Xenopus tropicalis: one gene and its partners. The protein of the gene in region 3 interacts with the protein of the main gene of each other region in a pairwise test. Links are inferred from orthologs where the notes say so. Each region holds a gene or a part of one and is shown on either strand. Other genes may lie near its edges. The genes, in order: ltv1, stx11 and bysl.

Region 1 (8,184 bases), on a different chromosome or scaffold from region 3:
ATAACCTACCAAGTAATTGGGGCAGCGAGTATATAATTTAAATAGCGCTATTCATTTTATTCTATATGCCAGAAATAGTTTTGTACGCTCTATAGATACCATATAAATACTATAGATATGTAATACCGCGCTAAATGTTTGTGGCATGATCCAACGTGGCGGAGACAGCGTGGTTAGATGGGAGCCTCTGTTACTGATATTGTGTGACAGCTCTGCTTTTACGTGTTAGAATGGTAAGGAATCACGTGGCGACTTTTAAAAGAAGTATCACTGTTCTTTTTAAAAGCATTTTGTCCCTACGGCTTTTTATCATTAGCAGTTGTATCTTTATGTCATTGTTGACACCTTGTTTCCCTAGGAGCAGCCCATGTTTCTCCGTGCTAGTCCTTTATAATTCGTTTTAACTCTCTCGCTTTGCTAGCAGTATTTATGAAATGGTTGCGCAAGAGTACAGTGCGATATAAAATAGGGTTACCGCATAGTTTAGATATTGGCATAGTTTGTAGCGTTTTAACATTGATCGCTTTAATTATTTGCAGTTCTCGGTGCTATTGAATGAAAGAAACTGAAATTAACCCAAAGAGTAAGGTTGTTAGGCACAAGTAGTATTTAAGGATGGAGGACCCAAGTAGACCTCAAGCAATTTGCTTATTATGTATAGATTGCACTCGTGTGTATGGGTGTGTATAAGTATGTTTGTATATATATATATATATATATAATTTTTTTTTATTATGAAATTATTTTCAACCAGTAATAATCTCAGCAATTAGTTCTCCAAGTCACTAATTAATTAATTTAAGTTACTAACAAACTCTTTAAGTAAAAGTTTTATTTTCTTTTGTCAAGCATATGTAAATCTGTTCTATAAGGTGGTACTTTTTGTCCTTAGGGATTAAAAACCTTTTTTTTTCCCCATTACTGTACACATGAATATTTCCATTACTGTAGAACAGATAAGCTATGTCTTGTATAAAATAATGTTTGTTTTGGTATAGCCTCACCGAAAGAAGAAACCATTTATTAAAAAGAACAAAGCAGTCACTTTTCATCTGGTGCACAGGAGTCAGAGGGATCCATTGGCTGCTGATGAAACTGCTCCTCAGAGAGTCTTGTTACCTGCTGAAAAGGTGGGATATTAATTCTTTAAACTTTATTTAGCACTAATTGAGGCTTTGTGACATCTGCTTACAAAAGTATGTCTAAACAATTGATCAAGGGATCTTGCACATTTAGCAAACAAACTGTTCAGATGGCAGAAACACATTACAGCATAAGCAGCAGGAGACCAGTTATTATTAAAATAAGAAGTACTAGATTCAGGAACCGTTTTTCTCCTGGGACAGTCAGACTATTAACAAAGGATAAAATTGGGAAGTATTACCTTTCATTTGAAGTGCTGTCCTGAATACTAAATCCATGCAAAGATACATATCAAATAGATACATCTTCTTCTCTACTGTCCCACATAGGGATGCACCGAACCCACCCTGACTGATTCTGCCAAATCCCGAACCGAATCCTAATTAGCATATGCTAATCAGGACTGGGAAGGGTTAAAAAAAAAAAGCCCCCCTAAAATTTAGCCATTTTCGAATGCAAATTGGCATATGCTAATTTATGTTAATTCTGATTCGGTTCAGCCGGGACCGTGGATTCGGCCGAAACTAAATCCATCAAAAAAAGGCTGGATTCGGCCCATCCCTAGTCCCACACTTATTGGGTTAAGTTTGTATATAATGTTGTACCTACTACTGCAAATTTCTTGTAGAAAAAACAGTAAACTTGATTTGTAACTAGTAACAGAGTTATTGGCCTGGAATGCAGGTATCCCTTTCTATAAAATTTTAAATGCAAGACTTGGTTTGCAAAACAATTTCCAAACTTCTTGATCAATATTTCTTTAAGTGTTCATTTTATGTTGCCAGTTGGGTCACACAAACAAGTAGTTTAAATACCAGTTGCATGCCTGACCTTTTAACATAATTAGCAATCTTTGGGTGGCTATACAGAATTTTTTTTCTACAAAAGCCCTCAGGCTGCAGCAGGTGAAAGAGGGGGTAGTCCTCTTTGATGCCTACATACAATACAGAGGGCAGCATCAGATATAAATCTGGCACTAATATATATATATATATATATAATATATATATACGACACTCCGAAAGTTGCTACAATGTAGCTGCCCCTGTGCACGGAATACCGAATAGATACCTTGAAAAAGGTCCCAAAAGGGACCGAAACGTCGGTTGTAGGGATATATATATATATATATATATATATATATATATATATATATATAATATATATATAATATATATATAATATATATAAGAAAAAAGTGTCAGCACTCACAGGATTTAAATTATTTGAAAAAAATTACATTTTGTTGCAAAATATGAAAAAGGAACATTACAGACCGCAACTTTTCAGTCCCCCACAGGTACTTTCGTCTATATAAATATAGCCTCACTTACTGATTCTGATTTTCAAGTGATTGCACCAGCAGTGAGGCAAAATCTAGAAATCTAGTCAAAATTTAAATTTTAAAACATATTTTAGAATTCTATTCAATGGCTGCACCACTACCATTCTCTTTTGTAATCTGTTAGCATGCCCATATGATTCAGAAATCGTGTACTATAATAAATACATTTAAAGAAATATTCCCAAATATAATCTGGCCTCTGCTTTACAGACAGAAATCTCTATGCATCCCTGGATATTGTTTTTCCCAGAAAGCTAGTGGATAATGCTATAAATTACAGTTCACATTAGCTGGATAATTTTGCATTTCATATCTATGGGCTATCTTGTTTGAAGAACAGTGTATTGATTGAACCAATCATTTCAGAGTTATTTCATTTTCTAGACATGTCTGGCCTCTCTTGATTAAGTGCCGTGATAGATGGGGAGCTCCCCGATATGCCATCCCACCAGCTAGAATGTAAATAGTCAGTGGGATGGCATATGCGGAGCTGCCACGGCCCTAAAGAAGAACAGTGTACTAAAGTTAAGAACTACTGCTACAATGACTTATGCCTTTTTTCTTTTCCTATGCAGGTAGAAACAGAAAAAAGGAAAGAAGAACAGAGAAATTTTGGAGTCTTTTTTGACGATGACTATAATTACCTACAGCACCTCAAAGAAAGAGGCCCTTTAGAACTTGTTTCCTCTGAGACCAGCAAGTCAAAGAGTTGCGTTATCGTTGCTCGGGAGAGTGGCATAGAAGAGGAGCCTCATCGCTTTCCCGTATGGCATCTGTGCTATTAATTGCATTCATATGTTTATGGCAGCCAGAGTTGACATTGCATTTCAGATGCTGGTGCCTCTATAACAAACCTGGAGAATTAAAGTTTGCATACGATAAACCATGTGTGCATTAAAGGAGAAGAAAACACATAATTTTAAGGGTGTTATTGTGTTAGACACCTTTCACTTTATAATTGTGTAGTCCAGGGCTGGCACAGTGTCTCTTTTGTTATGAGGATTTTCACTAGATCTTTGTTTTTCTCTTTCTTTTTTCATTTTTGTATTTTAGTACCCATTCAGCACAGTCACCTCCTGTTTAATATGTCTTAAGACTGGTTGCAGGCATAATTTTGGTGACAATTACTGATTTTGTGTGCAGTTCACTAATACATTAATAATAGTTGATCCCTTTTTGCATCATTGGGCTGTGCGCACAGTACAATATATTCGGAACCCTATCATAAAATACCCTTTAGGGCTCTGGCACACGGGGAGATTAGTCGCCTTGCTTTCCTCTCAAGGCAACTTCCACAATTTCAGGGAAGTCGCGGCGCCGCGTATGCCATTGGCGCTTTACATTTTCATCAGTGGGATGGCATTTCGGGGAATCTCCCCGTGTGCCAGAGCCCTTAAGTTGGGATGTTTGTTAAGCTCACTACATAGAGGCACTTCTTCTCTCAGATTATCTTCAGTCTATTTATCAGCTCAGATAGATAAAAGGCATTGTTGTGTTCAGTTGCAAATGTTGTCAATGGTATCTGCCAATGAAATGTGAGCTCTAGCACTGACTTACAGTAATGTGTATTAATGTGGATGACTGTAATGACTGTTTTTGACTATTTTTACACATACTGTAGTAAATCTTTTAGCATAAATGTATTTAAAGTCTGTCTCTGTCTCTCTCTCTCTCTCTCTCTCTCTCTCTCTCATCTCTATTTAGGGTCCATCAATAAATTTGCCATCATCTGTGTTTGCATCTGAATTTGAGGAAGATGTTGGATTGTTAAATAAAGCAGCTCCTGTTCGAGGTAAGGTTGCTAACAGCAAAGTGATTGCCCCAAGTTTTAAGTTTCCTCCCCACATTTATTTTTGTTCTAAGTCCACTTCATAATAGTTGATGAGCTTTCAAGGCATAACCAAAAAACATACACCTAACCCTTAATTCTTTGACTTATGTCATGGAAAAAAAAAATTTTGCAGATACGAAATTCCCAAATTAACTGACAAAATCGGTGAGAATTGCCATTTTATGGCATATGCAGGTTACTGTGAACTAAGTTTCTTAGAAGCAATTAATAGTATTTTGTTTTACAGTTCCTTTTCCGGGAAAAGTATTACAAAAAGCTAAAAAGGAAGAGTTTAATTTGACTTAAGAGAGTTTATAGTTACAGGAACATAATGCTCCAAAACAGCCTGCATTTTTTAGTGATAAGCCTCTGTTAGTAGAGAGGACAGGGCACACTGGAAGGAGATTTCTAGAGTATTGTCCTTATATAAAAGAGCAACAAACCCCTGGTTCATCAAAACCCTACAAATCCCCTCAAGCGCAGTTACACCAACCTGTAGTTGATAAAGAGGAAGATGAAAAATTTGAAGCCATCTCCAATTTGCCTCAAGAGGAAACAAATTCCTTTCTGAGGCTATGAATCTTTTTTTTTTTTTTTACCTGAGAAGCTTATACCATCCTCTGAAACATTGCAAAAACTACATCTCATTGAACCATAAGTTTATAGCAGATGGTTTAGTTTAAATAAAATAATGGTTGACACATATTTGCTGTTGTTGGCCAGGCCAACATGTGCCCAATCAAGCAAGCCGATTAGCTTTTTGGTTTATTGCCTTTAGGTTTGTGTCTTGACCTGGATCCAGATATTGTAGCAGCTTTGGATGATGATTTTAATTTTGGCGATCCAGAGAATCAGCTGGATGATGACTTTATCTTACAGGCTAATGACCCTAATAGTGATGACCTCCGGAGGTACTCTAAACTTTATTCTCCTTAGTTATCTTTATTTTTGCCTTACATAGATGTATATTTACACAGCATATACATCTATACATTTCTTTACATGGTTGCAGATCATCCCATGAAAAAGATGATGATGACTGGGAGGATGTTGAGAGTGAAGAAAATGACTATGATTCAGATGGACTTGTTTCAGATGAGGATGATGATGAGGAGGGTAAAGGAGCCAGGAAAGAGTTTCTGTTTATGCAAGAGGAAACAAAAAGTCGTTTTACAGAATATTCCATGACATCTTCTGTTATTAGGAGAAATGAGCAACTAACCCTTCTTGATGAAAGGTTTGAAAAGGTTGGAAAATCATCTAACCAGTTACAGACATATTTTCAATGATGATAAGAAACAAATGTAGTTTAATAATTAGAAGCTTATGCTTAGTGAAAGCAGGACATTCTCCAACTATTCTAGGGTCCTAGATCTGATTTTTGGTTTATTAAAGTAGCTTTTTCTTTTTAACCTAGTTAGTCATATATATATATCATGACTCTCTTCTTCAAGAGAAGAACTAAATTTGTTTTCCAGGCTCAATGTTTTACCCATCTATTTGGCATCTACCAAGTGATAGCTACCAGAAGTGTAGGTAGCTACCACTTGGTATCTACCTATCTGCCAAATGGATGGGTAAAACAAATGTAGTTCTTCTAACAGCTACAGTGTATTTCCATTAATTTTTTACTTTCTTTAAAACAATGGAGGTGAATAATTTTATATTTTATCCTCAGTTTTATGAACAGTTTGATGATGATGAAATTGGAGCCTTGGATAACACAGAATTGGAAGGATTCATTCACTCAAACAGTGGTCGGTTGGAAGAAGTAATAAATGATTACCACAAGCAAAAAGCAAAAGAGTATGTTTTTGATTATTTTCTGTTCACTTACACCTTCAAAATAGATACTTTCATATATACTGTTGCAATACTATCTGATCTTGGGTAAAGTAAATGTTAATACAGTGGGGTCACTGGAGTCAAATGATTAATGGTGCGGTCTTGTCCACTGCATAAAAACACCTGCCAGGGGTACTTTTTTGAAGAGCGATGTCATGTTGGTTGGTTGGTTGGAGACCTTTATAAATCAACCCACATTTATGGACACTGTTTAGACTGGACTGTCATTTGGTTTTCTTTACTCCTTGGCCATCCAGCAGCTTTTAAGCCTGCTGTTTTGTTGCTATGCCCCTGGAACTGAAAATGAGATGTCTATAGCATTTATTTGCACTTTTGTACTGTCTATAAACTTGTATTTCCTACAACGTTTAGATTATAAGGTTAACATGGCAAGTTGTTTTTTCCATTTTGATAGTTAAAATATAGTTTTAATTGATATACATACTCCTTTTGCAGCTGCGTGAAACTGAAAAACCTGACACCTAGAGATGGCATGGATTCAGTAATTGAGGAAGATGAAGATAATAAAGAAGATATGCAAAATTTAGTTATTGAGGAGCCTAGAGAAAAATGGGACTGTGAATCTATTTTGAGTGAGTCTATAAAGAACTGAGGATATCGGACTTTAGTGCTCACCACTGATCACTAGAGAGTAATTTCCCAGCTATCATATTTACTTAAATGGGAAAGTGCATATTTTCTAAATAGGTAAAATTTCAACCACTGATTGGTAAACACACCATTACCTGAAAATTCTATACAAGTCAATAAAGAACAGTGAAATTTTCCTCTGGTAATTTGTTGCAAGCTCTATTTCACCCTTTTATATACTGGAGAAAAAGTAACAGAACATCACAGCGCCATACTTTGGTTAAAAGCTAGAATCTGTATTTAAGCAGAGTGAAAATTGTTCCTGTATATACAGGTATCGGACCCCTTATCCGGAAACCCATTATCCAGAAAGCTCCAAATTACGGAAAGCCTGTCTCCCATAGACTCCATTATAATCAAATAATTAGGATTTTTAAAATTGATTTCCTTTTTCTCTGTAATAATAAAACTGTACCTTGTATTTGATCTCAACTAAGATATAATTAATCCTTATTGGATGCAAAACAATCCTATTGGATTTAATTAATGTTTTATTGATTTTTTTAGTAGACTTAAGGTATGAAGATCCAAATTACGGAAAGACCCCTTATCCGGAATACCCTTGGTTCCGAGCATTCTGGATAACGGGTCCTATACCTGTACCGCAATACTAATCCCAGATAGGCGTATACCTTAAAAGCCCTTTAAATATTGGCGGATTGGAAATTATCTTATGGCAATTTATAGATCAGTGGCAAGAGTATGTGTACTGATCAAAATCATTTTAGCGTACATCTTGAACAATATGTCATATGTCACATTGAAATGTAATTAGGTTCTTTTCCTTTTTAAAGGTACATACTCTAATTTATACAATCATCCACAGATTATCAAGGATCCACCCAAGGTAAGAAAATGAACCTTGCTGTTTTTTAATTTTTATTAATGTTTAGCACAAAAATTATTTGTTATTAGTTTGGTGGTCACAATGATAATAGTGCCATACTGCTTCAGACAGGGCTCTTTCAAGCCTTGCAGTTGTATTTCTAGTCTCTCTCTGTGTGTAAATGTGTGTGAGCAATCACTTTAAGCAGTCTAGCAGCTTGATGTATTTATATGTGTAATTATTGTTCATTTATTTGGATCAGTGCTGTCCAACTGGCAGGCCGCATCTGGCCCATGCTGCCACCCCCATCTGTCTGGCTGCTGCGACTACTTACTTTAGTATAAACTTTAAATTGTATTAATACTGAGATTAACTGGCCCCTCTGCATTGTTCACACCTCTCCCTCAGACTCCAGGGAGAAACCCCTCAATGAGCGTGAACTTTCTCCATCAGTCTACTCTCTCGGCAGACCAGGTTGAGGTTTCCACGTCCTCGGATAAAAAAATCAAAAGGTTTATTCTGTCTGGGTACTGACCGTTCATT
Region 2 (8,284 bases), on a different chromosome or scaffold from region 3:
CAGAATCTGCAATAACAAACATCTACAACCTTATTATCCTCACCATGAAGAACCATCTTTGCTGCTTTGAATGAAAGTTTAGTTTCTCAACTCTTAAGGGGTGACTCCTGGTTTGTTTATCTTTTCTATTGGAAAAAAATATCACCCACTATCTATTTAGAGTGTCCTCTAATGTACTTGTAAGGAGTAATCTTGTCCCCTCAAAAGCACCTCTTCTCCAGAGAAAACTTCTCCAACCATAACAGTCTTTCTGTCCATTTTACCAGTTTAGTTAACATCTCTGCACTCTCTCCAGCTCATTATTTTCATCCCTTGAGTTAATGCTCTTCTTAATGCATGATAGTACTCAGGGCCGCTATCAGAAATCACGGGGCCCCTCACAACAAAATTTCTGGGCCCCATCCCCCAATAGCCCCTCCCCCAGTGACCCCTCCCATCAGTACAAAGGACACACAGACATTGGTAGCCAGGGCCCCCCTAAAACATTAATAGCCAAAGGTTACATTTTGCATTGGAGCCAGGGCAGGGACCCCCAGTGTCCCCATACTATGGGCCACTCCCACTGCAGCATCCTCCAGCTCCCTCCCAGCGTCCTCCAGGTCCCACCCAGCTTCCTCCCCAGCATCCTCCAGCTCCCCCCTAGCATCCTCCCCAGCATCCTCCAGCTCCCCCCTAGCATCCTCCCCAGCATCCTCCAGCTCCCCCGCAGCATCCTCCCCAACATCCTCCCCAACATCCTTCAGCTCTCCCCATCGTCCTCCTCAACATCCTCCAGCTCGCCCCAGCGTCTTCCCCAACATCCTTCAGCTCCCCCATCATCCTCCTCTACATCCTCCAGCTCCCCCCTAGCATCCTTCAGCTCCTCCCAGCATCCTCCCCAACATCCTTCAGCTCCCCCCAGCATCCTCCCCAACATCCTTCAGCTCCCCCCAGCATCCTCCCCAACATCCTTCAGCTCCCCCCAGCATCCTCCCCAACATCCTTCAGCTCCCCCAGGCGTCTTCCCCAACATCTTCCAGCTTCCCCTCCCCAACATCCTCCAGCTTCCCCTCCCCCTCGCCTGCCCGCTTCGTCAGGCTGCGTTCCCCGTCTCTTCTTAGGTCCCACGTTTTGCTGCTGCAGCTACTGTTTTATTAGGTTGCGCCCCGTGTGTACCCTTAACGTCAGCATGCATGGGGCGCAACCTTATAAAAGAATAGTATAAAATTACCCGCTGACCACCAATGAAGTGAAAATTTTTAAAGGGGGCCCGTGCTTAAAAACTGTATCATGGCTGGGGCCCCTTTAAATCCACGATCCTCCGGGCCCGGGACAACTGTCCCCCCTGTGCCCCCCTGATGGCGGCCCTGACAGTACTAAATTTGCTTAAGAAGCAACTAAATGGCACTGCCTATTGTTACACAGTTTGTTATTCACAAAAATTCCCAACATCCTTCTCAGTTAAGGAAACCTCCAACACACTACCATCTAGTGTATAACTTGCATTTGTTATTTCTACCAAAGTGCATAACCTTGTACTTCCCTATGTTGAACCTCATATGCCAGTTTGCTGCCCAGTTCTCCAATTTAGTCAAATCACTCAAAAAAAAAAATCACTCACTGCAAAGTGGCAGCATCCTGCATTGAACATATAGTTTTGTACAATTTAGTTGCATTAGCAAAACAGAGTACCTCCAATGCCCATGTTAAAAAGCAAATGGCTATGGCCCAATTAGAAATTGCTCCATTTACCACCACTCTTTGTAATCTATCCTTCAGCCAGTTCTTGATGTGCATTACATTATGTTCCAGACCAGTACTACTGAATTTAATTAGTGACCTTCTGTGTGGTACTGTTTCAAATGCTTTATCAAAATCTAAGTAGGCCACATCCACTGCCATCCCAGAGTCTAGGTTTCTGCTTACCTCTGGAACAAACACACAGTATTGTGATATTCAAGTATTGTCTCCCTTATTATCCCCTCCAAAAGCTTAAAACCATCAATTGTAAATGTTAATATTGCTCCAGGGCCAGCCTGGGACCAGCCCAGATGGCCCTTTGTTGGTGTTCCCAGGGCCCTTATTGTTCTGTATGTTCCTGAGCAAAGATTGGGCTTCTTATTTCCAATACATTTGTCAGCTCAACTTCCTCCAATCCTCTGTAACTAAAGATAATTCTGACATCTAAAGAGATACTGACATTAGAAATTGAATCCTTTTTACATAGCATAACATTTTCTTTGCATGCTTTTTAAAGTATTGACTTAAAAGTATTGGCAAAACAGTCAGGTTTAGGAACTTCAAGTAAAAATTACTTACAAAAGCAGAGCTATCAGAGCAAAACAATCAACATGACCTATAGATAACTTTTAATGTACATAAATAATCTGGAGTAGTTTTTTAGTGTCAGTATCACTTTAACTTGATCAATGCCATTGGCACCAAAGCAAAGATCCCAATTTTTTGCTGCCACCTGCTCACTACAGCTACATCCACCACAATGCAATAAGGTTCTAGTATTTTGTCCTCTATACAACGCAGCACAAAATTCAAAAAGTGTTTTCTGTTCACCTGAATATAGTACAGAGCACCACAGCCTAAGTGTACCAACACTGCTAGAAGCCTGCTATTATTCACTCTCTGAGCAGCTGGTCGATTCATTTCCTAGAGAGTGTTGGGCTGGGCATTATGCAAGTTTGTAATAAGCTGAAGTTCTTATTTATGGTGATCCTCCAGCCTATCATAACATTTATCCTTCCTCAGTCCAGAGTGCTTAAAGGGGACCTGTCACCCTAAGAAATAACTCCAAATTATTTTCTATATTGTTAGTTGAGCAAAATGAACTTTACTTACTCTATATAAATAATATCAATCTTGTTTCTTTCCGTCTTGGAATTACTCAATCAAAGCAAGCAGGCAGGCACCATTTTGTGGACACTGTTATTAAGGCAAGCTTGGTATCATGCCAAAATCTTGTTTATATGCCAGAATGGGGGACCTGATGCCCAGGCCCTTGCACTGGCTACACAATTAGATGATGAGGAGGGAGGGGAAAAGTGAGATGTGCAGTGACATCTAGGTAGTGCTGAACGAAAAGCTAAAGTTATTGTCTGCCCCGCCTCTATGCCTAAGGCATAAAGGCGGGGCAAGCAATATATGATTGACATCTGGGATTTTTAAATGCCTCTATAATGGGTTTGGATGTGTTAATATAAAAATGAATTTGGGTTTCATGTTTAATTTGAAAAGGACTTTTATTATACAGCTTTTTATGTCTGGGTGACAGGTCCACTTTAAGAAAATGCAGGAACCAAAAGGGAACCACATCAAAAGATGTGTGTGTTATCAGTTGAGGATATGTCAGTAAACACAATGCAACAGGGTTCCTTTGATGATGGTTATAAATTCCTTAAATAATATCCAAGTTGCACAAGCTCTCCAGCATCAATGATTCTGCCTTCCTTTATGATAAAACAGTCTTTTTCTCTACATAAATACATGGGCATGAAAGTCAGTTTGTCACTTCATCTAAGCTTGTGATCGCTATAGAGGTTGTGCTGAATGGAGCTAACCATATTTATTTAAACCTGCAGAATATTCCATATGCATTTTACATAGCTTCCTATGGTATAAATCAGATAGCTGGATTGTCACTCTTAGATGGTGGGACAGAAGCTAACAGATGCCAGAGAAGATTCTGTGATGTCATTTTATTACAGGTCTCTGCTTGCAGCATAAAGAATATTCTGAAGCTGCATTCTCAGCCTGTCTGCCCTAATTGCTTACTAAGTTTAAATCTCTTCATACAAGGCTAAATATGAGTGTTTGGCCAGGGTGTCAGGTATAACCTCCTTAAAGGCCAGTTTACCCAAAATGTGCTAGACTACAAAGCAAAAAAACATTTTACAAATGGTTTAAGTATAGTGGGAGCTGTAGTCCAGCAACTTCAGGGTGTGTATGCTAGTTCACAATAAAAATCTACCCAGCTTTCTAGGACCAGTGACCCAAATTAATATGCAAAGTAATCCTCCAATAAGAATCCCTTTGATTAGTCTCCATGTTGTTTGTTTTGTCACTGTAATTGGAAGCTTTAAACAAACCTTTTCTATGGCAGAACTACACAGAAGAGCATCCTCCCTTGTGATGCTACAGTGTGATAACATAACAAAATGACATAATGCTGACAAACAGCAATCTCATTGGTAAATTCTCTTGCATCAGTAATTAGTCATGTACTTAAGAGAAGTAAGGGACACAGTGAGAAAGTTTACAACCTCTTTAAGCTCCTTTCTATTTAACCTGCACATTTCTGATCTCCTACACTCAGAATCATCCTCTCACCATTTATGCGCAGTCTCGGCCACAAACCTGTCTGTAGCTCGCAGGCCACAAATTAAATCATCTTCCTTACAAGAGCTTGAAAATACCCTCACTGGTGTATAAAAAAGGAGTTTGCTGCACCTGCACAAGCAAGTACTGTACTACAACTCCCACAGTGCCCAAACTGCTGCTATATTTGAACTACACAATTTCCCACAACCTTGTGACAGATTACTGTAGTACAAAAAGGGCTGAAAAGAGGGGGCAACTGAGGACTAGAAACATATTATTATTGCCAAAAGGAAACACAGGGGGTCTTATAACCAAAAAGGATGCTTGGCTTCCACACTGATGGTACAATGTACAACCTTAACAGCACAAAGACACACTTTCACAAAAAGAAGCACAATGTTTCTCTAATCATCATAACGACACAAGTTTACAGGGTAATTGGCCCATCTCCAGCAGTCTGCCCCAGTTCAGCACACACCTTATTTTCCCAATCAGGTTCAGCTGCGAACAACTCCTGGCCAACAAAATGAACTGAAAATTCTATTCATACAAAGCAGCTATATAAAGCCCGGACGGGCTGATTGTTTCTGCTTCAATTTGTAGTAATGGACTTTCTATACGATTATGCAGCACATTATTGCTACGGCATCACTTATTCATTCAGGGGTGTAACTATAGAGAAAGCAAATGCTGTGACTGTTGGGGAACCCAGGAAATATGGGCGCCCAGAGGGGCATAGATTGATAAACTCAGTCTCAGTATATTTTTATAAAAAATACATTATTGCCAAAGTGGCAAATGACTTTGTTATGGGGCGCAGAAACTTCAAGTCTCCCCACTGACCTGTCTGTTAAACTTTCTGTCACTCTGAAAGTCATGTGTTTGATTATCCTTTATATCAGCCAGTCTCGGTTATCATGTTATATACTGTCAACCTGCCCTGTGCAAATTGTCCATCAGATAACCAGTTCTTAACAGTGTCTAAGGAGCTGGCCCCACAGGAAAATGCACCTAAAGCAACAATGCATGCACTTACCTTTAACCAACTGCTGGGTATAGGTGAACTCTTGCTTTGTAGCTCCTTAATTCTGTATTACAGAGCTGGGAAACTTTTCAAGCTGATTGCCTTCAAGCCTCAAGCCATGCCCATGCTGTGGCACTCACACAGCCTACTTCCTCTTCACTCACAGCGAGCAATAGACAGGCGGCTGCTGCTGCTGTTGTGCTGCTCAGTGGGAGGTGAAGTGTCAGAAGAGGAAGCAGGGTGAGCACATGCACCATGTGAGTAAGCAGGAGGTGTTTCCATCTAAATGAGAAGCAGATAATACTTAGAATTTCTTTATTGGAAAAGAAATGATTCAGAAAGAAACCTCCAGGAAAACATATAACTACTCTGTAAGTTTTATCCACACAGACCTGGCCCTTAAACATCCCTCATCTGCCAGATTAGTCCAGTCCATACTTTTATACCATACCCTGTAGCTTTTCTTTTTAAAGGTTTTAGTATAAAATAGCCAAATAAACATACATGTATTTGATTTTTTTTACATTAATGGTGTGGGGGATTCACAAAGACAGGCACCTAGTGTACACTGGTTCTGTAATATATTTCAACCAAAGGCACATTAGGCACAATCAGTTAAAGCATTACATGCAGGATTATGGAATGTCCCTTTTACACTATATATTTTTTCTTTAGAGAAATTTTGATATATTTGTGCCCATATGCACCCCCAAGGGTGGCCCGTGTGCATGCCTGTCCCCTGACCATAGGTACGTCTGCGCTAGGTAAGGTACGGATCTATTCTTCGCAGAACTGCCTTCAGGTTAGCTTTTCTAATGTGTGACCTGTGCTGCTGCTGCGTGAGGTACCACAAACAAGGGGTGTGCATGGCAGTTTTTCTTTTTCTGTACAGACATGTCAACTCACACAAGTTTTCAGGTTTCACCCTATTTTTGTTTCTCTCATCTGGTCACCAAAAGTAGCAACCCTAGCCAGATTCTACTGCCTGTACACTGAACAGCAATATTATACCTTATAAATGATATATGGTGGTTTATAAATTGTTCATATGATGTGTATGTCATATAATGTGTTTCTACAGGGTGCCATTTACCCCAGATGGCCCTCCTTCATACTATAAGTACTGACATGCTCAACAGGAGCTGTTTCCTTCCTGGGGTATTTATGAGATTATTCACTTCACACCTTAGTAACTATCTGACTGAACCCTGACTAAAAAATTTACACCTTCTCTGTTAAAGTCTTATATGGTTATGTAATATATGTAATAATGTAATAATAATAAAATGTGCAATGTTTGCCTCAGGTCTAGTCACCTATAGCAACCAGTCAGCGGGTGGCATTTACTGGTCACCTGTTTTAAGAAAACATCTTTGTTTTATGCATGTATATATAAAACATTTTATACCTGATTGTAAAATGAAGGGACTATCAGTTTATATGTATGTGTATGACATAGCTACATAGTAGTTGTAGTAGAAAACAAAACTAGACTGGCTCTCAAGCTCAACCTTGCAAAATGTGTTGTAGTCATTATTGATTAAGGCGCTCTTGAGATCTACAATTTTCTCCTTACACAGCCTTACATATCAGCACCCCTCAGTGAATGGGGCTTTTCCCAAAAAGAAAATAACATGTGAACTAATACATTTCTTCCACCCCCATCCATTTTAACTTTGGTTTTAATAAGAAATATGCGAGTTTCCACTTTTCTGTATGGAAAGCCCTGAGTGTTTTCTTGTCATTTCACTATAGCTATATTAAGTTATGTGACGCCTGCAACCTGAAGTGATTCATTTATCGTATGTTACTCCCCCCTCCCACTAGCTGCTCTTCTTAAAGTACAATGGTCTGTGGTGATTGTACCACCTCCTGGGTGGAATCTCCCTTTCAGTTCATGGGAGGATGCAGTAAGGTTGCATGTGATGTGAAAATAAAGTAATTTACTAGAAAAAAAAATACAATTCCTTGTTCAAGGAAATGACCCTGAATTTAATGATCTGAGAGACCTTGAGAGTTCTTGTATCAACACTGGGCATTTTTACACGTGGACAGTAACTGATGGCAGTCAATAACGTTTAGCTTTCATTGCTCTTCCTGCTATTGGCTGAAAAAGTTACTGTAATTACTAATTGGTTGTTATGGATCACTGAGCAGTTGCAAGTTTTCCCAGTGTTAGTAAATGAGCTTGCAGGGCAGAAAATGCCAAGACTTATACTTGTACTTGATTGTCAAGAGGTAACTTGGAGTTGAACCACTTTATTCCTGTCAGTGATCAGCACTGTTTAACAATAACAAGTTCTTCTTTTGTTTAAAAAACAGTTTGGGGAATTTGGGGAGATTTGATGCCAGTGAGAATTATGTGGTAACTGCGAGCAACAATGCGCCAGTGTGAATTTGCTGAACATATGAATCATATCATCAATGCTTACACAATTCTCATGTTTTACCTCTGGCGATTCACACTGACACCAGTGCTAGGGTATATTTAGGAGATTTGTCGGTAGCACAGATTTCCCGAAAAATCTCCCCATTTGCCATAACCCTTAAAATTTCTACATGTGCTATACAGTGATTGTTGAGAAACCCACAACACCCCACTCTCTTTTGTACCATTTTGTAAAAAATAGCAAAGTACTATAATAGACCTTTATGCGTAAGATAGCAGCCTACTGTGACCCTACTGTGGGATAATTTTTACTACTGAACAAAAGGAAATTAAATTCAAAGAGCCAAATGCACAGTCCCACAAACAGGGGCTGAAAATATCTTCACGACATTCCCAAATTGAGAGCTGCCATTAGGTATCTTGGGAATCCATATTCTCCCCCTTGGCCACCCCTTCCCCCTCGATGGTGGCCCTGTTTAAATACTGGGACCTCTTCTCTCCTTACTAACACACTGCATATCCCCCCACCTACCCTCAATTTGCCTACGAACCAACCAAAA
Region 3 (8,281 bases):
AATGTAATTATATCTATGTATATATATTTACAGTCCTTTTAAAAATGTCTTTATTAAATGTAATTATTTATTTTTTGCAATTCTTAAGTTTATAGGTGGTGTTCCACCTTCCCTGTGATATATGCAAGTTGCAACTGCACCATATAAGGGTGATTTTATGCCTCCTTTTTATAAATACAGGTGCCTATAATCATGCCTATTTTTGATAAACTAGGCACACAATATAGCAATCTTAGCGATGTGGTACGCACCTACAAATGCGCATGCATGAGTGATGGATTCTCATGTGCTTTACAAGCTGGAACGCATAAACTATTGTGCATGCGCCATTTAGAAATACTGGCGCAAAAATCTGTTTCCGAACATAGATAGACTAGAACAGCGGTTCTCAACCCTTTCACAGGGGTCACCTAAGACCATTGAAAAACACATATTTCCGATGGTCTTAGGAATAATTTTATGTTTGGGGGTCACCACAACATGAGGAACTGTATTAAAGGGTCGCAGCATTAGGAAGGTTGAGAACCACAGGACTAGAACATGCTGAAAAATTTTTTTTTTACATTTCTTTGCAATTTTGCACATATTATACTTATAGCAGTATTTACCCCGATTAAAGGACCAAAATGTTAGGCACCCCCAAGTGACTTTAATCGCCTACCTTCTTCCTGCTTCGTGAGCGCGCATGCACAGTAGAGTGAAAAGCCGAACTTTAACAGAGAAGTCGGCTTTTCACTCTACTGCGCATGCGCCCACCGCATAGTCACAGCTTAACGAAGCAGGAAGGAGGAAGTGCATCGCTCCAGGTACCCCGGGGGCTGGTGCTGTTTTCTCCTAACAGGGGCACCAGCCCGGGGTACAAGGTAAGCGATTAAAGTCACTTGGGGGTGCCTACCATTTTGGCACCCCCAAGTGACTTTGCCTTTCCTTGTCCTATAAGTTGGTTATAGTGATTTTCCAACAAAACACGTTGGTATATTGTGGTATATTGTTGCCAGAGATCAGCCCAAATATTCCAGTAAGGCTGCATTGTTAAACTATATCTAAGTAGTACTGCTGAATTGTGGGAGAAGCAGCATCTGGGCCTAGGAACTACTGGTGAAGTACAGCCAGAGAATCCCCCTTTTTCAAACACTGCATGGTTGAATACCAATGCTACCAACACTACTAATACTGTGGGACTAGCAGCATCTGGACCTGAGAAGTTTTGTGACACGTCTTCTAGTCTCTGATGCCTTGTAAGTGCAATTTTAACTTGTTTTGAGCTCTGGACTGGTGGTTATAGATGGGAAGACCAGTTTCTCTAGTAGTGGTGGGAAGGAGAGCAGAGCTAGGCCTAAACAGATTGTGGTTATAAAGGATTCAATTATTAGGAAAGTGGACAGGGTTATCTATCGACTGGATCGCTACAACCAGACAGTATGCTGGTTTCCTGGTGCTAGGAAATCAGCATACTGTCTGGTTGTAGCGATCCAGACAGTATGCTATTTTCCTGGTGCTAGGATTTGGCATGTGGTTGATCAAGTTGACAAATTATTGGGTGGGGCATGACCCAAATGTCTTGGTACATATTGGTACTAATGACAAAATAAATGGTAGGTGGAGGACCTTAAAGAGTGAGTTCAGGAACCTAGGCTCTAAAAAAAAAAAAAGTCCTCCAATGTAATTTTTTCTGAAGCTTCGCCTGTGCCACGTGCAACGTTTAGGGAAACAGCGGGAGCTTTGGGAGCTAAATGTTTGGCTGTAGGGTTTGGGTTCCTAGAACACTGGGCTGACTTTTCTTTGGGGTACAATCTATACAGCCATGACCGATTGCTCCTTAATGGAATGGGGGTCCATTGTGCTGGGGAAAAAAAATGGCTAAGAGGCTGGAGGAGTGTTTAAAAAAGGCAGGGGGGGGGGGGTTATGGGAAAGCTAGTGTAGATCTGGCAGTGGGATAAGCAAGGATACATACATTTTACCAGCTAAGGAGATTCCTCTGTTACATGGAAAACCCCTAATAGTAACCTCAGATCTAACTCTTAGTTCTGTAATGTAAATATTAGAGGGAAAAATAGTAACCTCCACGGCATGCTGGCAAATGCACAGAGCTTGTCAGGGAAATTAGAAGAGCTGGAGTCTATTGAATGTACTGACAATTAGGATATAATTTGTATCACTGAGACCTAGTGAGATGAAACAAGTGACTGGGCTGTGAATATACATGGTTACACCCCTTTTAGGAGGGATAGAGGGATTAGAAACAATGGAGGGGTTTGTCATTATGTAAAGCCATATACTAAAGAAATTAGCAGAGACAGCAATTCAGTTTCATTTTGCTCTACTGGTTGCAACTATAGGTAAACTAAGCATTCATTCACACTAGGGATAAATGGGATGACTCAAAACCCACGAGAACCAAGCCCTAGAAGCGGGTTTAAGAGGGTGGCAGGTAAAACTGCAACCAGGTGATGTATTAATTCTAACCCATCTCCTGTGGTGACTGGTCCCACCCATATAAGAGTCATCGGAGAAGAACCACATAAAAGTTATAGTAGAAGCTGGGTTGGAAAACAGCAGGTTAGGGTTGAAAATGTTATGAATCACTCATCACTAATTTGTTTTTATTCAAAATCATCTTTTGACTAAAATGTACATATCCAGACCTGTTAAATTTCACAAATGATAGTGTATGGATAAAGTTCCGTAATCTTTGCTATAAAGTATTTCTATTAATGATTATTTTATTCAGGGGCTGGCCAAGCCGACCGGGCACCCTAGGCAACCCAATTGGCCACCCTGCACCCCACCTCTCATGTGTGTACATGAGAAAGTGCACTGACATCCCGGGTAGGATGCGAGAAAAGCAGCTGGGGCAATAGTGTGTGTACTAGGGGGTAGGCAGAAGAGGTAACTGTCACACCCCCACATCGTTGCTCCCTTCTGACTACCCCAAGTTCTGGCCCGGCTTTATTTGACCCATGTAACCCTTGGCGTCTCCAGATAGTTGCTACTTTACCTTAGTGGAGGGTTCTTATTCATAAACATTTCCATTGCCTTTTCATCTTCAGGGTTAATTTGTACCTCCTCGTTGAGGGTACCTTTCTCCAGACTGGCTGCCTTCTCCAATGAAGGCCACTCATCATCTTCAGAGTCTGAACCCTCTGCTCTGTTCTTGGAATCTGAAGGGCAAGGATTTACAAAAGATAATGATTGATTTGCCAATATACAAGCAAAGATAAATATGAAGAAATAATGACCTCTAATTTGTAAATAAGTTAATTCAGACTGTACTTAGTGAATGCTACAAGGTCTGTTTCTGTGGAGCACCGGTTCCAAACAATTCCCAGGGTAGGCCCAAGAGAACATGAAATATTTGTAATGCGAGTTAAGGGTCACAGTCTGAATACATTTAGTGCATGTTAGGCTATATTACACACTTTTTGTTCTAATTACAGCTAGTATAACTGAGCATACTGTACCTTGTCATGGCTAAATAGAACTAGAAAGCAGCACTGCCTGTATGGTACCTTTAATTTAAAAAGGGTCCTAAAAACATTTTTGATAAAATCAAATCTTAAAAATTAAGATGAAGGTGCAGTGTACAATCCATTTTTGCACACATGATTCCGGTCTTTTATAACATATACACTAAAGTATATATGCTATGTGGAGTATAATCATTAAAGGAGAATGCAAGTCAAAATTTAAAAAGCATACTGCCCAATAGTCCTCCTATTGTTTAGTAAAAATGCCACACTTTTGGCTCACCTAATCAAATATTTACTCAGTCACACTTACTTCACATATTCTAGAACAGGCAGCCATCTCTAAAAAGGTATTCTCCCTTCCTTTCCCTCCTTGCTTCATACTGCACATGTGTTTGCATGGAGATGCATCAGCATATAAAACAGCACATTAGATATCCTTCATTTTATCACAGAATGAAGTTAGCAAATTATTTATGTACAACTTTTCAAATATTCTTATATGTGTATGACTGTATCATATTATATACCTGGAATGTTCAATTTGAACCAGCTAATGAGCATTTGAGCATTTCTTTGGCCCCCAGTAGACTTTTTTTGCATGGCAAAATTTCAATATAATCTGGCCCTAAATGGATTACATTAATGGATTATTAAGACTGTCCCATACTCGTTTCTATGTATTTACAACTACAGCACTAGTTGTTGGTTATGACTCAGTCTAAAGACTCCCCACTGATTTTATATACCGGTTTAAAAACTTTTGTTTTGTATTCTGCCTTGGAAATGTTTCTTTACCCTTTTTTACCTAAAACAGTTGTCCTCTCTTTAGGGGTCACATTCCCCAGACTATATTCGGCCTCCAATTCCTCCTGCTGAATACGGGCCTGCTCCAGAATCCTTCGGGACAATTTCTCGTCCACGTATCCATCATCTTCGGCGTCGTCTGTAGGTTTCCCCTTGCGCTTATTACGGAACGAGGGTCTAATTTCTCCCTCCTGTTCGATCTGATCAGCTAAGGGGAGTAAGCGAGAAGCAGCTCCCCGAGAATTTTTGTGCTTTGGCATTTTCCTGACATACACGTGCATAGATCCACACACTGCGCATGCTCCTATTCCCCTGGCATCGTACGCCTCGATGTGGGACTTGCGTGAACCGCAAATAATGACAACAATTTTGAGCGCCGTGACGTCATAACACGTCGCTGTGTTTTGTACAATTAAGTACCAGCATGGGAGTGACTTGGTAAGTGTTTGTCATTTTTAATGTAGTAGTAGAAAAAGAAGAAACGTCATTTTGATGTTTGCAGATACGTGTTAACTTCTGGATTGTTTTTATCTTTTGTAAACTAAGTTTACGCTTACTTATTTGCATGACTGCTGCTTTGTTAATTATAGAAAAACGGAATCCTACGAATTCAACACTGCAGTGCAGTATCACACTAAGAATGCTATGGGTAATAGGGAGACAGTTAAAAGATATCCTTTTTTAAAAATCAACACTGTAAATATAACCTGTTGAAAATGTATTCTGCCTCTTATTTTCAGGATTTTTTTTTGCCTTTGTTAAGGAATAATAGAATTTTTTAATGATAATTTTGAACCCCCAATAGCGTTGCTGGTAAAAAAAAAAATGTGCTGGATGCCAATGTTATTAATAGGGTATAAAGTTATGAATATAGGAAGACTGATATACTATACCAAAATATATCTGTCTTATGTTTATCTTCCTTTCTTATAAATAACATTAACAATAGCCATGATTTCTTTTTTTGCCTAGGCAGCAACCATACTTCCTATTGCTGTATGATTGCCTTCAGCCTGCATCCTCCAAATGCCACCATTGTACATAACCCACAATGCATTGGAATGCTCCAGGAAAAGAAAATCACAGTAAATTGGATATAGATTTTCTCTTTTCCTGTTCACATTCTCATGGCAGTCCGCACAATTGGGAGGGAACATACACATACCAAATGCTGCAAAATACTTTACTTTTTTATTCAAAATCTGCAGAAGCAGAAACATTTTTTAATGCTTCACAAAAATATTAGGACACCTCCAAATTGCTGCTTTGAAAATCTTTTCTGGTGACGCTAAACCTTTGAGTGCCCATGATGCTGCCATACTGGATACATCTTACAATATACATGCCAGTGTTTGCTTAGCTGCACTGGTAATATGAAGAGAGATTTTGTTTTTCTTAACTTCTTTGCCCTCTTTAGAGTCATCTTAAAGGAACAGTAACACCAAAAATGTATATATTTTAAAGAAATTAAACTATAATGTACTGCTGCCCTGCACTGGTAAAAGTTGTGTGTTTGCTTCAGAAACATTACTAGAGTTTATATAAACCCTGCTGTGTAGACATGGGGGCAGCCATTCAAAAGAAGAAAAGGCACAGGTTATATAGCAGCTAACAGATAAACCCTGTAGAATACAATGGTGTCTTATCTGTTATCTGCTATGTAACCTGTGCCTTTTCTCCTTTTTTCCTGCTTGAATGGCTGCCCCCATGGCTACACAGCAGCGTATTTTTATAAACTATAGTAGTGTTCCTGAAGCAAACACCCCAGTTTTACCATTGCAGGGCAACAGTACATTATATTTCAATTACTTTAGAACACTTTCATTTCTTGGTGTTACTGTTCCTTTAAGACATCAAGGTTGTGCCAACAGATTTCTTTATCATTCTGCGGACAAGCAAATTTATCTTCCTAAAATATTAACAAATCTTCTGAAATATATAGTTCCTGGAGTTTGGACACTCTTCTGGCCAAGGTTATGGCCAACAAAAACACAATTTGTTAATTTTAAGGAATGTCCTGAATAGGTTGAAATGATTCTTTCATGAGACTTATGAGAACCAAAGGTAAATCCAATCGTCGAACACTTTTTCTGGATTGATATGATGTGAACCTTGAAGAAACTGAACTATCAGAGGATTTGTAGCCCATTTAGTTTCATTAGGTACTGATAATGGCGTTACTTGTCTCTCATCCACTCCACTTTGCAAAAATTCCAGAATGTGGTTAACCTCAGGACATAGGCAGATTATAGTCCTTACTTTCACACTACTTGAAAAACACTTCCCATACCTGATGGTAGCTTTTTCTTGTGGAAATTTTCCTGGAATATAGTTCTGATAACTTAGTATTTGGGCATTGTAGGAGGTTGCCATCAAATCCATTGCTCTTGGCCCGCATCTCTGATCGATCTCCTGAAAGATGCTGTGGTTCAAGAAATCTAAAAAACTTGTTTTTCCCTGGAGTAAAGACTGCTGTTATAGACCGGAAATTTACCTCTGCCCACAGGAACAATTTTCAAGATAAGAGAATTGCTCTTCGTGCCACCCTGTCCACATACTGGACTGCTGTGCTGTTGTTGCAGAGGATTATTTCTGCCTTGCCTTTCAGCTCTTTGAAAAATTATCTCCAATGGGAAAAATGCCTTGAGAGCTAACCAAAATGCTTCCATTTTCCTTTGACTGGACAACCAAGTCCTCTGGAATCAACTACATATTCCCTGTCTTCACAGAGTCGTGTGTGGACTGCCATAGGAATGCAAACGGGAAAGAAAAGAACTGTTTTGCATGTGGATTTTAGCATATACAAATGGTATTCATATGTTTTTAAGGAACAGATTACAGTGATAGGTATAGTAGGGGTTTTTGTGTTATGTGGGGCTCTTTAAAGGAAAACTATACCCCCAAACAATGTAGGTCTCTATTAAAATATATTGCTTAAACAAGCTAATATGTAAAAGCCTGCTTCATCTAAATAAACCATTTTCATAAAAATATACTTTTAAAGTAGTATTTGCTATTGGGTATTCCTAAATAGAAATTTGCCATTTTAAGAATTAAGGGCCGCCTCCTGGGATCATAGGATTCAAAGTGCACACAAACAAGCCACAGCACACATACGTGTTAGTTGACATTAGCCAATTAAAGGACAAACTTCTGTCTTTTGCTTTCACACTTCTTCCTGTTACAGCTAAAGCTGCATTATTTCTGGCCATGTGATCTCTGAGGGCGCACACAGCCAATCACAAAATGGTGGGTCAAAGGAAAAGATGTAAAAGGACAATATTTACTCAAATATATATATATCAGTTTGGTGAGAAGTGTTCATCCTCGTGGTATACATTTTCTTTTTTTCAAATTTGGTTCCCTTTCAACATAAAGTTATAAAGTACCAACATATTCCACATCACTCATGACAAGGACCGTTGTGACTACAGTTGTCCCAGCCCAGAGGTCCCACAGTTGGAAATACCTGGAACAGAGGGTTTGGATCTTTTTCAGCTGTTTCATTTAATACATTTAGCCAAATTGTGGCTAAAACCACAGAGCCCCATCATTGCAACGATTGTTGAGGCAATTGTGCTCAAAAGTCCTTGTGGCAGCCCATACTAAAATGTGAGAAAGTGAGTTTCAATAGGGAGTCCAAATCCTATGACTCTGTGCTGGAATATACTGAGTGTTGCCCTGCAGCCAAGGATCTGACAGATACTTAAGGTGGCCAGCAGGAATTTGGGGACTGCTTAAAGGTGAAGAAAAGTCATTTTGGCATTTTACTGTCAATAGAATTGCCACATTAGTACCACCTAGAACACTATATTTATTCTGCAGAAAGCATTACCATACCTGAGTAAACAGCCCTAGAAGTTCCCCCCGTTTGTTTAAGACAGCAGCTGCCATTTTAAGTAGTTTCCTGCTTGCAGCTCTAGCCGTTGGTAGCTCAGATCACACATTCCTAAGGGAGGGGGGGAGGGATTTCTTAGCATTCTTGTTGGAGGTGGGAGCAGGAGAG

What was found.
Region 1: the proteins of bysl (region 3) and ltv1 interact in binary tests that used the Homo sapiens proteins (3 or more experiments, as listed by UniProt). The two-hybrid records come from large-scale screens. The link is inferred for Xenopus tropicalis from reciprocal best matches to the Homo sapiens genes BYSL and LTV1.
Region 2: the proteins of bysl (region 3) and stx11 interact in binary tests that used the Homo sapiens proteins (3 or more experiments, as listed by UniProt). The two-hybrid records come from large-scale screens. The link is inferred for Xenopus tropicalis from reciprocal best matches to the Homo sapiens genes BYSL and STX11.

The regions. Positions count from the first base shown.
Region 1 is NC_030681.2:64,490,701-64,498,884, forward strand, and holds part of ltv1 (protein LTV1 homolog), read left to right. Parts: 5' UTR 1-230; coding exon 231-233; intron 234-998; coding exon 999-1,130; intron 1,131-3,063; coding exon 3,064-3,252; intron 3,253-4,192; coding exon 4,193-4,280; intron 4,281-5,097; coding exon 5,098-5,230; intron 5,231-5,331; coding exon 5,332-5,566; intron 5,567-5,997; coding exon 5,998-6,125; intron 6,126-6,620; coding exon 6,621-6,757; intron 6,758-7,609; coding exon 7,610-7,662; intron 7,663-8,184. UniProt on the Homo sapiens protein: Essential for ribosome biogenesis.
Region 2 is NC_030681.2:45,303,698-45,311,981, reverse strand, and holds the start of stx11 (syntaxin-11), read right to left. Parts: upstream 4,845-8,284; 5' UTR 4,790-4,844; intron 4,649-4,789; exon of another isoform or gene 4,624-4,648; intron 4,346-4,623; exon of another isoform or gene 4,321-4,345; intron 1-4,320. UniProt on the Homo sapiens protein: SNARE that acts to regulate protein transport between late endosomes and the trans-Golgi network.
Region 3 is NC_030678.2:70,759,532-70,767,812, forward strand, and holds the start of bysl (bystin), read right to left. Parts: upstream 4,554-8,281; 5' UTR 4,536-4,553; coding exon 4,277-4,535; intron 3,163-4,276; coding exon 3,000-3,162; intron 1-2,999. Other genes in the region: med20 (mediator of RNA polymerase II transcription subunit 20), read left to right, coding at 4,700-4,713. UniProt on the Homo sapiens protein: Required for processing of 20S pre-rRNA precursor and biogenesis of 40S ribosomal subunits. May be required for trophinin-dependent regulation of cell adhesion during implantation of human embryos.